Saccharomyces cerevisiae S288C: one gene and its partner. The protein of the gene in region 1 binds, or shares a complex with, the protein of each later gene. Each region holds a gene or a part of one and is shown on either strand. Other genes may lie near its edges.

Evidence for each region. Proteins that work in one complex are often made in the same cells at the same time.
Region 2: CUE3 (region 1) and SLH1 share a complex: the UniProt entries of both Saccharomyces cerevisiae proteins name them as parts of the RQT (ribosome quality control trigger) complex.

Annotation. Positions count from the first base shown.
Region 1 is NC_001139.9:300,491-306,054, forward strand, and holds CUE3 (Cue3p), read right to left. Parts: upstream 2,922-5,564; coding exon 1,047-2,921; downstream 1-1,046. Other genes in the region: ribosome biosynthesis protein NSA1, read left to right, coding at 1-879; YGL108C (uncharacterized protein), read right to left, coding at 3,159-3,581; RMD9 (Rmd9p), read right to left, coding at 3,843-5,564. UniProt on the Saccharomyces cerevisiae protein: Involved in activation of the ribosome quality control (RQC) pathway, a pathway that degrades nascent peptide chains during problematic translation.
Region 2 is NC_001139.9:1,029,463-1,038,017, reverse strand, and holds SLH1 (RNA helicase), read right to left. Parts: upstream 6,228-8,555; coding exon 324-6,227; downstream 1-323. Other genes in the region: EFG1 (Efg1p), read left to right, coding at 1-218; chromatin segregase YTA7, read right to left, coding at 6,509-8,555. UniProt on the Saccharomyces cerevisiae protein: Involved in activation of the ribosome quality control (RQC) pathway, a pathway that degrades nascent peptide chains during problematic translation.

The DNA.
Region 1 (5,564 bases):
GATAAAAAGTTAATAAAACTAGCATCCCTTGGACTGAAAGCACCAGTAGAATTTCTTCAGTTATATGATCTAGAAGATACCGATACTGATAAATATATATTTGCATACGGAGGGGAGGAGAATTTAATAAAATTAGTGGAAATAGATTCGAGTTTCCAATCTTTAAAGCAAATTTGGGAAGCCAAGAATGTTAAAAACGACAGGTTGGATATGAGAGTCCCAGTATGGCCCATGGCCCTAAGATTTTTGGAGCCCTCCCCTGGTAAAACTGAAAAGGGTAAGCTGAACTACCAGTTTGCAGCCATAACCCGTTGGTCCCACCTCACCAAATACAGCACACAACATGGCAGAAAACCGTTCGCTCAGATAGATTTATTACCTAACCGTGAACCATTATCTCAGATGGAAGTTTTTGATGCCAAGGGAGAAAATGTTGTCTCTTCGTTGGGGAATTTTCAATCTGAAACCTTTAATGAACTGAATGTGATTACTACTGACTACAAAAAGAATGTTTTTAAATTCGATGGTAATGGAAGAATGTTGGGCAAGGTGGGTAGAGATGATATCACTGGTTCGTCAACCTATATTCATGTACATGACGGCAAATATCTTTTACAAGGTGGTTTAGATAGGTATGTTCGGATCTTCGATATAAAAACTAACAAAATGCTGGTGAAGGTTTATGTTGGGTCCCGTATAAATTTTATTGTTATGCTGGATGACGTTGAAATCGAGATGCCACTAAGTCCAAGTGCGAAAGCTGCCAAAGGGAAGCAAAAAAGGAAGGTTACAGAACTTGAAGAAGACGCAGATGAGCTTTGGAATAAATTGGAGGGAAAGGTAGCTGCTTCTAAAGCCAGTAAGAAAAGCAAAATTTAATAGTAAAGGACGCTAATTGAAGGCAAAGTTTTACTAGTCGGCGGGAAAAATTATTAAAAAAAGCACTTCCTGAACGCGACGCTGAATAACTTATAATACGTTACATAATTGTATACCGTCTAGTAAACTTACATACGCTTGTCTATCTTGTATGCTGATGCATTTTATCAAATAGCGTTATTTCCCGCACGAGCCAATTTTTTATCGTGCCCCTTCTTACGGTTATGGTTAGCTCTAGCCCCTTTCCTTTTTTCATTCTTAGCATGCTGTCTTTTCTTCTGTTCAGTAGATTGAGGTTCATGTTTCTTAATATTTTCAGATTTTTTTTGTTTGGCTTGTTCTTTGACGACATTTCCATCATTTTGGCTATCACGATTATGAACATAAGACGTTTTCCCTGTTTTGCTATTTCCTTTGAACATAAACTTCTTTTCTAAAAGTCTTGCTCGGGTAGGAGATCTTTCTAACATCCGACACCAACCTTCGATTTTTTCATCCGACCATGAAGTCATTTCTTTCATAGTTTTCCTGACTTTTGTACCTCTTTTTGATCTCTCAAATAATTTCGGATCCTCTTTCAATAGATTCCACAAGTAAGCTTCAACAATATGATAGTTATGATCTTGTCGCACTTCATTAGAATCATCTTTTGTATCATAGCTTTCTTCGTCTTCTTGAAGTCCAATTCTTTTCGAAGGATCGGACCGGTTCACATCGGCTTCATCATAAGTGTCATCCCTTTCATCTTCATCAGCCTCGTATAAAAGTTTCAATGCTCTTGTCAAAGTTTTATTTCTTAATTCATCCGGAACACCCTCCGAGATAATCTTTTTGTCTAGCTCTTTATTTTTTGAGCTATCTCCTCTATCCAATATACTCAGTTCTTCAGTAAAGGATGCATTATCACCATCTGACACCGGCTCTACTTCTTCCTCCGCAGGTTCTCTGGAGAATGCTTCGATAATGGTAGGATCCTCAAATATTTTATTCGTTACTAATTCAATGTTATTATCATAGGCAAGCAACGTTTGAGATAATTGATATTTAGAAAACTGGGGGAACAATTCCATCAACGCGGACAGTTGTTCTTCATTAACTTCAGTACCTGATGATGTTGGATAGCTCATATGGTCTCCTTCGTCCATTGACAACCCCCCTAAATTCAGAAATAGTAACTTGCTCTTCAAATCAGGAAGCCTTTTGTGGACTCCTTCATTTATGAGCATTGTTCCTAAAAGAGGATATAACGCCAAAGTTTCAAAATTGCTTATGCCTAATTCTTTAGTTATTTTTAGTAAACGATCAGCAGAAACAGAAAATAAACTGATAATGATCAATTCTCTAGCCTCTTTATGACCCCGGCCCTGTCCCTTTGCCCATAATGCCTCTAAAATTTCAATCCAATTTGCCGTAAAGAAGTTCTCCGCAAACTTATTTGGCTGCATGGATTTGGCAGACAGCAGATCTTCAACGCACCTTAAATCTATTCTTTTAAATTTTCCAGATTCTATTAACTGCTTCAAATGCTGTTGAACTTGGTACGATTTGTCCAATTGTACACGTTGCGTGTTGATCCGTGGTTTCAATGAGCCATCGATCAAACCACGAATAGAATCTGGATTACGTCTAACATATACTTTGATCAAATTCCACAGGGAGTCACCAAAAATCTGAAGATGTAATAACCCGCATTTCTTGATCAATGAAAATATCCAGCCTTTTAGTAAATATAACTGTTCAGACACATCATGGTTGATACCGAGACTTAATAACTTTCCTTCCTCATCAGCAATTTCATGCAAGTAAGTTCTCAAAAATAAACGAAGATGATCAAGTGTAGATTCATCTAATAATTCAACGTTAGCACCTTGCATCAAATACTCAAAATACGTTACATAGGTTTCTATTAGATGCAGCCATACTACGGGGTCCTTTTCAATTAATTGAGCTCTGAGTTTAAACGGTGGAAATTTGACAATGGGCAGAGAAATATCTGCATTACCCCCATTTATTTCAATAACGCGGTTGTACCTTGATAACATTATTCTTAGTGATTCTATCCTATAAAAATTTCCAAGATTCAATAGTTAACTCGAATGTCTCTCATTTATGAGAACTAGTGTTTTATATTTTCATTTTTTCTATGGCCGCGCAAAATCCATTGGCAGATATTCAGGTATATAAACGTTACAAAGCCAAGAGGAGAATGGAAGGCCAACAAAAAAATTCTTGTACAATTGCATATATTGATTCATTACAATATTACTGCCGTCGTTCTCTCAGTCATAAATCATGTTTTCCCTTTCCCTCTCAGCATGCTTTTTCTCGGCCTCTTCCATTAAGCGAGTCTTATGAGACTTGGCACGCTCTTGAGCTAGCTTTTTGCCTAACTCGCCCTTATTGTACTTTTCATTCGTCTCTTGAAATCTCTTCTCAGCAGCTAACCTTGCGGCCTCCTTTGGGCTAACTTTATTTTTGCTCGGATCACTTGTATCAGTTAATTTGCTGCCTTCTTTCCTTTGCACAACCGGGACAGTTGTACTCTTTAGTTGTGTCTTCTTCTTTTTATCTTTCTTCTCTTTATGTCGAAGTTCTTGCTTTGACTTGACTGTATCACGATTAATTGGTTTTGTTCTTGCTTTAGTTGCCACCGTCGTAGTTTGTGAAGGCATTGGTTGGGTTTTACTTCCGCAAAGCCCCATACTATGTACTTAAATATTTGTTGTTGTTTGCTGGTGCAAATTTCCTGGATGATGTTAATGATAATTATAGACCGCTTTTATATAGTCTTATGCCTATCCTTTTCATTTTTATTTTTCTAGAGGGAAAAAATCGCTGATTACATGAGGGAAAAAAATATACACATTTCTTGATCATAGAAGATTCGATCTTATATATTATACGTTTAAATGTTTATTTACAAGCATGCATAAATTGAGATGGGGAGAATGAATGCGCTAGTACTATTGCTCCTTAGCAATAAAGCTATGTAGTTGAGGAACAGGAATGTCCTCGGCACTCAAGTCAGAATAACCGCTCAGATACTCATTTAATATTGGGTATGACTCTGCGCATCCAGTGGTATACCTATATACTTGCTTGGTAGCGCGAAAGTAGGGCGTATATCTTTTTAATATTTTCAAGTACAGCTCTATTCTGTCTTCTGAATTCGAAGTAGAATCCTCATTTTTCAAATTTTCCAATGGCTTCGGAACTTTTATGTCGTCTTCTGTGGTCGTAGTCGTTGCTGGTGTTCCTTTAGCTTTTGCAGAAAAGACCTTTTCATCCCTCTTTGATTGTGACCATACGACAGTGGCATCCCTCAAAGCGGACAGATCAGCATTGGCTATATATTGTTGGCCCAATTCATTCAGTTTCTTGACCAACTCCAGCCATCTATCCAGAATCTCTTCATTATTCGTGTTGTCTATGCTTCCCAATGATTTCAGTAGTATTCTATATGATATAATAGTTCTTGGAATATGGTACAAAGTATAGTTTTTATCGATAAAATCGATTATGCTGCGTTCGTGCCAGATAGATGCTCTAGTTAACATAACGTTAAAAAATGGTTCATCAATTTTTTTGACCCCACTGTAAAACGTTATGATTTCTTGAAGCTTACGGAAACCATTGATATTGTCATTAATATAGTTTTCGAAGAATATTGTGAAAAAAGTGTTGTTTAGTGAGGACAAAATTCCAGGATTAACAGTGTTACCATAAAATTTTACAGCCTTTTCCCATATTCTATAAACATGATCAAAATCGTTCTGTGCTTTCCATATATTCTGCAAAAAAGAGTTCACTGTAGAGACTTGTAAAATAATCTTGTATGGCATTTCATCGTTGATAATTTTGTCAAAGAAACTTTCTGCCAACGTTAAATTCTTGGAATCACCAATGAAGCTTAAGTGCGTTTCAATTAAATAACCGTAATTCCTCACTTCAGCCTTTTCACATAATTGGCCGAAGAGGGATAATGCCTTTTCGTAGTCTTCCGCCTTGATGAAGACTTTTATCAGTCCGCTGTAAAGATTGGGATGGATAAATTCTTTGGATTGAATAATTTGGTTATATAGCTCGTTAGGCTCAGTCAGAGAACGCGTTTTTGCATAAAGTAATGGCAGCATAAAACCAACCACTTTTGGTTCTTGGAATGCCTGTGAAGTAGTCTCGTCGGACAAATTCTTTGACGCTTCCCAAATTCGAATACAGTCATCGTCAAATGACAGCTCTTTAAATGAAGTCAATAGATGAGTAGCTCCATATCCGCTGACAGACACCTTGCCTATCAAAATGTCATCAGATATATCCTTTAATGAATTACATAGAAAGTTCATCATTTCCTTGTGAAAAGATTGCGAATCGTAGTCTGGCTTTCTACTTAATTTTACCAATTGGTCTCTCGTCGACCTCAGACCGTTATGCAGCAGATGAATCAAACGTGACACCCGGTACGCATTGAAATCAGGCGATTCTCTCAAAGAATAGTATAACTCCATTGCTCTGCCCATGGAGTCCCAAAACATGGCGAATGATGGATTTTTATTCAATTGGTTGTTTCCTATTCTTTTGTATGTATTTTGCAAAGGCGTGGTAGAGTACTTTAAAGCAGATGATACACACTCATCAAACGAAAGAAGCTCGTGGCGCCATGGAGAAGCTGGATCCACATTAAACAC
Region 2 (8,555 bases), 730 kb from region 1:
AATTTCTTAAATTAGTAGCTGAAAGAATGGATGCGAACACCTTAAACGTATCTTTCGAAGAGATATTGAAGGGAAAGAAATTGGATGAAGATTCCATCGGATTAACATTATCACCTGATAAAGATCATGAGGATGGATCACAAGTATCACCTACACAGGATAGAAAAGAATTGGATCAAGTTGTGGGAGAAGATGAAAAGGATGACTTTTTTGAGTAAAAAAATTCTAAATGCGTTATGTAAGAAAATATATACGAAGATGTATACTAGATAGATTTCCACTGTTATCTTTCACAAAATAATTGTTGTTTTAATTGTGTCTCACTAAGAGATTAGTTTATGGACCATATCATAACGTAATCCTAAAGCGTCATTAATAAGGGAAAATTGCAATTCTTCGCCACGAATTTCTTCGGGAATAAATAGATCACAATGTATTATGACCTCTTTATTCATTTGTTTTGGTTGACACCTTTTAATCATCAGCAGTTCATCGCCTTTGTGTCCAATTAAAAACCATAGTTCTTTTTGTATCTTAGGGAATTTATCACAATATACTTCAAACCCATTATTATGCTTACTAGAAAGGTGCTTGCTATAAAATGTTAACACCTCGTTATTTTCCTGTTCTTCAAATTTCATGCCTTCTAAAACCGGTAATCTTTGGCAGACACTGACGAAACGTTTTTTCGTATCTTCGCTTTCTGTCATTCCAAAAGTTAGTTGATCAAAAACATTTAATAATTTCTTATATCCAAACCTTCCTATTTCCTCCAAGGTTAACAGCTTTTTCTTCTTTTGCTGCGGCGTCATTTCAATGAACCCCTGCTCGCTAAAAGTGTAATCTTTGATTCTTCTCAGTTGTAATCCTGGAAGTACACTAACAGGATCGTCTTCATACCAATACCCTTGCTTTATGCATTGCATCATCTTTATCATGGTCAATACCGTATGAAAGTAACCCAATTCACTGGCGACATCAATATAAGCCTGTAGAATACGTAGAGATTGATCCAAAACTGATACGGTATCCTGGATATAATCTGCAATCGGTAAATCTACACGGCTTAAATGAGCTTGAAGTAATAAAAATGTTTTTACATGTGGATCCCACATCGGTAATTCGAATTCATCGGTAAAAGTGCTTTCAACGGAGTACCTCGATTGCTGCGACATTTCTTCATTCATGATAATTTCACCACCTCTTACAGGCAATTCATTATACTCAACAGCCAACGATAACCATCGTAATACCTCTTGAAAAGTCGCATGATCATGTATCTGTTTCAATAATTGGCGTATCGTTAAATGTGAAATATAGTAGTATGAGGATATACTTAAGAATGGCGTAGCAACAATATCATCTCCATGTAATAAAACACATTGTGATTCTCGCAGATTTTCTAATGTGCTATCTATCAAAGAACTCAAATGTTCACTGACTCCTGCTGTACTTGTATCATCTTCAATGCCATAATATGTCGGGTTATGATGCGCTCTACGAAACAAAAATGTCCAACTCAAAAAATCTAACGCTTCTTGCTTATTAGTTATGCTACCTGACGTTATTTCTGCACCTAAATGATCATCTAATACCTTGTGCAAGGAGGACTCGACAGGAAAACCAACGTTTAGGAAATGTTTATAAAACATTTTTTTGGACTCTTTTGTATAAACGATAGCAGTACCTGTAGTGTCATAAGCCGGTCTACCAGCTCTCCCCATCATTTGCAAGATATCTGTTAAATCCATATCTCTATATCCTTCAATTTTTGCATCAAAAAATTGTGTACCTTTGATGATAACCAAGTGAGCTGGCAAATTGACACCCCACGCTAGGGTTGATGTAGCGATCAGAATCTGAATTTTGTTTTTTTGAAACAACTGATGAGAAATAGAACGATCTTTTTGCACTAGACCTGCATGATGCAATCCAATACCGAACTGGAGTGATAACTTTAAAGTGTCGTCAGTGACCTGTGATAAGTAATATTGCAGTTCCTCCTCATCGTCTATATTCAAAAACCTACGTGGATTATCTTCCATTCCACATAAGTGGATCAAGTCTAAAGCCGTTAGTCTAGTTTGTCTACGCGATGCAACAAATATTAATGCTGGTTTATCAGGTGAATGTTGTTTAATGGCCATAAACACAGGTTTGTTCATTGTTTTCATCAGAGGACAGAATGCCAAATTATCTGGAAATCCATCAATGTACATTTTCAATGGAACCGGACGGACGCTTGACGGGAAGTTATACAGTCCGTGGTCCTTAACTCCCAACCAGCCAGCCATGTCGTAGGCGTTTGAAACAGCAGTTGACATACCTAGCAGTCTGACCGGTTGCTTGGTTTGAGAGGAAATATAATTCATACGACTAACAATCATTTCTAAGATAGGACCACGATCACTAGCCAACAAATGAATTTCATCCATGATAATTAAAGATACATCTTGAACAAACTTACGAGTTTGCCAATTACGGGAAATACCATCAAACTTTTCTGGAGTTGTAATAACAATGGTGGCATCATGCACATCTTTAGGATCTGGCAAAGAATCACCGGTTAACTCTACAACTTTATCTCCGGTCACTGGTGTTATTTTCTTTCTCCAGTCATCAACCCTTTCACGTACTAATGCTTTCATTGGTGCGATATAAACAATCTTTTTCCCAGGAAATGTTTTGAAGGCATGCCATATAGCCAATTCAGCCACAATCGTTTTACCAGAACCTGTAGGCGAGCCAACAAACGCATTCTCATTGGTATTGTAAAGTGTATAAAATGTCATAGTTTGCATGGGATTGAAATACTTGAAAGGATAAATTGACTCAATTAAAGGATTCTGGAGGGCTGATGTAGGTAGAGGACGTAACTTCAACAATTTTGTCTGTAAAGTTTCGTTAAATGGTCTGATTAAATGTTGAAAAGAGATGGCATGGGTCGATTCACAGCCAATCCAAGTATCCGACACAACCTTTACGACAACCTGCGGAGGCAAAGGGTCTGACAATGGGATCATGAAGTCCATTTCATGCTGATTATTCAACTGCCTTCTGTTTAAGATGAACTTTTCAAAATGAAGGATTTGCGACTTATCAGATTCTTCAACGAAAACCCAAAAAAACTGTGCATCACCATGTATCCGGGAATCCCATACAAAGTCTGGACCTAATGCAATATGTATCCTCATTACATTTGTTGTAATGGGGAAAATCTCAGCTTCTATATTAATCTTTGGAAATCGGCTCAATATTTTATATAACCTAGACCCGGCCTTCTTATTATGCACCAGCTCTCCGAGCTCATCTGCCTCTAATTCTAAAAGATGCTCCATGGAAGGTTTAGTATCTCTGATGCGTCTGATAATATTTTCAGGCAAATCAAACTGACAGAGAGGGTGATCAAAGGCCCAGAGCCTCTTTTCAATAGATTTGCAAATATTTAGCATGACGTTTGAAAATTTACCCCATCTTCTATTGACACCTATTAAAAACAATGCTCTACAAATTCTAACAGAGTTCTGAGCAACATAATTCGAATCGGATGATAGTGCTGAGTCAAAAATTCTAGTCTGGGAAATATAAGCCTGTAATAGCACGTTTGCTTTACCTTGAGGGGTGTCAAGTTGGCTTCCAATCTGGCACTCAACAGATTCATCAGAAAGTCTCTTCAACTCCTTGGATTCTTCTTCTCTAAATTTTATACCGTCAAATTCACTGCTCATACTGATCATGGACAATACATCAGCTTCGGTGGCTCTGGGATCACACATTTGATTGAATATCTCGACGGATTCGTTCAAAAGATAAAAATCAGAGGACACCCTGCCCAAATCCTTTGCAATGAAATGCATTGACACTTCATCGAACACAATCATTTGGAGAGCATGTAATCGCCTTGCAGCTACTACGATCATTTTTCTCCTCCGTTCATATAATTGCGGGTCATTTGCAATTTCCTCCCAATCAATACCGTAAGTAAAAGGATTTTTTCTCATACGAACAAACATGTATGTGTAACCAAGCCATTCGATTGCTTCATCTACATTTGTCACGCTCCCCAATGAAATTTCGGCGTTCAGGTTATCAACCAACTTGGAACCGAATCTAGATTCGATAGGGTGTTGTTGAGTAATTAAGGAAACATAATGATCCAGACGATCATTGGAAGTACATAAAATACCCGTACCATTTGCGGAACCGAAGCCCGGCCTACCACCCCTGCCAAAAATCTGAATAACATCTGAAATACCTAGATCTATGAATCCACCCTTTTTAGAATCATATACTTGTGTACCCTTGATGATAACACAATCAGCAGGTAAATTAACACCCCATGCTAATGTTGCAGTACAACACAGTACCTTGATAGCACCGTCTTTAAACATTTTTTCAGTAAGATTTCTATCTGAACGGGCCATACCAGCATGATGGATACCAAAACCAAATTGAAAAATCTCCTTCATATCCTTGTCTCTGTTCTTCACTAAACTTCTAGAATATTTATCCTTTTCGATAGGGTCAGGTGCAAAAAGGTCAACTTCGTGGTTAGATTCTGCTAGTTTGATAAAGTTTCTTGCACTTTTAACAGTTTCCTTTCTTGAGTGGACAAATACCATTACCTGGTACCCTCTTTGAATCATTTCACTCAATTTGTCGTAAGCGACTTTATCGATATTCTCTTTACTTTGTCTACTACCTGCCTTACCTCTACAGCCCAAAAGTTGCTGCTCTAGAGGCTTTGGACGGAATGATTGATCAAAATAGAACATTCCGATCTGTCTATTTACTCCTAAGAAATCTGCTACATCCATAAAATTGGGTAATGTAGCTGATAGACCGATAATACGAATCATTGATTGAGAGCTTTCTACCTGTCTCAAGGTACGTGCAACTAAAGTTTCAATAACCGAACCTCTATCTTCGTGCAGTAAATGAACTTCATCAATAATTAGTAATTTGACCTTTGAAACCAAATCGTTGTCGCCGTTTGCTTTACGGGTGACAACGTCCCATTTCTCAGGGGTTGTGACTATTACTTGAGTGGCTAAAATTTCCGCCTTTGTCAATTGCATATCGCCTGTTAACTCCCTTACTTGTATATTAAAAGGCGCCAATTTCTTACTAAACTTGTCGACGATTTCAGCAGCGAGTGCTTTCAAAGGGGCAACATAAATAACTTTAAAATCATCATATTGAATATCAATTTCATTTTCCCCGTTGACCACGGAGAATTGTTTTATTGTATTAATTATTGTCAGTAATGCAATGTCTGTTTTACCTGCACCAGTAGGTGCACAAATTAGCATATTTTCATTTGTTTTATAAGCTACGGGGTAAACAAGGGATTGTATTTGGTTTAAAGTTTCATAGGGAAATACAGTCTTGCAAAAATGATCCAAATCACTTATTTTCAATAGTTTTGTATAGAGATAGTTCTTGTTGGATGCCTGATCTGCTGCCGGAATTATAATTTCTTCATGGGTATTGTACGACATCCTTGTAGTCCCTACTGGCAAAGTGAATTTTTGACCGGCAAAGGCCATAGCTGTAGTGGATCCTGCTTCATATTTTCTGAAGACGTGTGGGTACTTGATTATTTTAGTGGCGGGATTTAATTTCCTATTCTTGGCATCCTCTGCACTTTTCAAAACTTGATTCCTGATATCTTGCTGTGTCAGGAACTCTGGCGTTGAATTGACCGCATTTTTTATTAGCAGAATCGTCGTTTCTATAGGTGTAGCAACGATCATTCTTCTATGCTGAAGTAACAGAGAAACAAGGTCTATATTCCCTGTTCCTAAAAAATCCAACAATTCTTTCTCTAACTCTTGCTTTTGATGTTTATAAACCATTTGCAGTACAGTTTCTAATAATACATTGCTGCTTAGTGTCGTTTCAGCTTCATTGATTAGTTTTCCAATTTTTTTATATACTGCAACTGCATTCTTTGTTTTGTATGAATCAATTATAGATTGCAGTTGAGCAAATGAAATGTCTTTAAACTCCTCAAATATATCATCCCAATCATTTCTATCTTGTGAGAGAACAGTTAGTTCAGTTCTTTGATTTTGTTCATCCTTTTGGACTTTTTTTAGCTCGTCATCAAAATCTGGTAAAGAGATTTTCGATCTATCTAGATTAAAGGTTTGTGAAGTATCAATCATAGATTGCATTGCAATCATAAATGATTTAGATGAATCAGCAGAGTATTCAGTTGACATCTTGAGCCGGCTATTGATGGTACGGATCTACTTCTCACAATTCCAATGGTGTTAGAAGATATTATGAACATGTTTAATTTCAATATGTTCAATACATATTCCATTCTCGGTCATTACCCGAAACGTATGCCAGAACAGTGACTGTTAAAATAAAGTAGTGGAAAAAAGCATAATATATATACAAGGTGTGGTTTTAAATCTATTTCTTTTCAAGAAAAGTGCACATTCATGTATATGAACTAACTACATTTAAGAATTATATAAACATTATGGACTCCTGCTTATTCAGATAAAAATTTTATTATTTCATCGACAGTTCCTGTTTTATCCCATGCTGATTTACTTTTCCATATTATTTTTGCAACGGACGAATGAACATCTTCTAATTGAGAAACCGTAAAATTCTGACAGTGTTCGATTAAGCATGCAGATACTTTTTTTATTTGTTCGGGCGTCAAAATAAGCTCCTTGTCGCTCTTCTTCCCTTGCTCCGGTTCCACAACCTCTTTTGGTATCGGACTTCGTTCCCTTTTTTCTACCGTTTCGTGGAGGGAATTTGGTTTGTTAACCGATTGAATTTCCTTTACGTGATTTATATTATTAGTATTAGCGTCTATTTTGCTGAAGTTTTCTTCCGTAACCTGCGTTTGCAAAGAGTCTTCATTCTCTTTTGGTTCTTTTCTGGCCCTTTCATCATCATCGGTGGTTATCTCTGACGTGCAAGTGGCCTGTATCAGTTCCGTTGTGTATTCTTCATTTGCACCGCTATCCTCAGGGATGACCGCTTTTTCTTTATCTACTGCAGAGGGAATTGCCGCAGGAATCTCCTTTTTATACAGGTTGGTATCAATTGGTTGAGGGACCTCGCTGTTATTAACGATAGAGGCTGTATTGATAGTTGTTTGCAGCTGAGCTTGCAATTGATTACCAGCAGCTACACCAAACTCATTAGCCTTGTTATCCTTTAAATCAGGTTCTTGCAGTATATTTTCTTGACTCTGTTCTTTGGCTTCTAATTCCATTGCAGCTCTTTTCTCTTCATCTTCTAAGAAAAGTTCCTGCCTTTCCAAATCCCTTTGGCGAGTAGCTTTACACTCTTGAATAAAATCCGGGGTTGAAATTTCTTCGATACCCATTTGCGCGTTGGCAAACATCTCAGAGGCCTTAATGACACGTTCTCTGTCCCCAATGGTATTTGCATCCCTGTATATCAGTTCAATGTCTTTTAAAAACTGTTTTGGTTCTGAGTAATAGCCATTCCAAAGTCTCTCTTCGACAATATCCAAATCCATGTTAAAAAACTTTCGCCCTGTTGAAACCTCCAGAATCATGTTCTCATCTTTTATATATGCAGGTTGCCAATTGGGATCATTGCTTGTCTCTGGTTCGAAAAGATGAACCAAGAAGGCATCATCAATAGGTGGTTTTCTAAACCTTTTATATCTGTTTTTAAAAAGATCCATCAAGCCTGAGAGTTTGATTTTTAACACATTTTTCAATCTCATATCTTGGTGTTGAAAAGATTTCAACTTCCTTCTTAATACCACTTTTTCAGACAGTGGCTCACCATTTTCATCAAAATTTGTTGGAGCTGCGTTTGAAGTTACTTTTTGTAATTCAGGTAACGGTTTGACTCTTCTCTTTTTCATGGGAATATCACTTGGCTTTGTTTTCAGTAGTTCAATTAAATTAGAAAAATACCTCGTTATATTCTCTTTGGATGGTTTATGCAGTTGAAAGATATTTTTATCAAAAGCAAAATCAGATAAAATACCATTTTTAACTTCAGATATATCAAGATTTTCAGCTAAGCATAATAGAAGAATTTTTTCATTGCTTTGTAAAGATCTGAACAAACCTGATAAGACTAAAATAACGTTTTCTGGAATAGTGTTGATCCAAATGTCTAAATTAGGAATAAATACAACTGAGGGCTGTCTTTTCTTTGCTTCCATAAAACTTTGCACTACAGCAGCTTCAATAGTCCTAGAACTTTCCGAAACCAAAGAGGCAAGGTCCAGGTTTTGGACGTTGAATTCTTCTAAATAATTTAAAATTGCGGCTCCGACATATTGTTGACCATTTCCCTTGGGCCCATTTATTAATAACCGAGGTTTACAAATTTGTGATTCCGCCATCGATTCGAAAAACTCATATGATCTAAAACTGGATGTATCTTCATTTCCTCCATATTTGTCATGCTCTTCTTCCTCTCCACTGTATTCTTCATAATCGATGAAATTTTGTAGCAATGATGTGTTTCTCTGAAAAGTTGTGTCTTTAATGTTCAGCATATAATCCAGCTTGTTCTTTAAATTATTAAGTTGA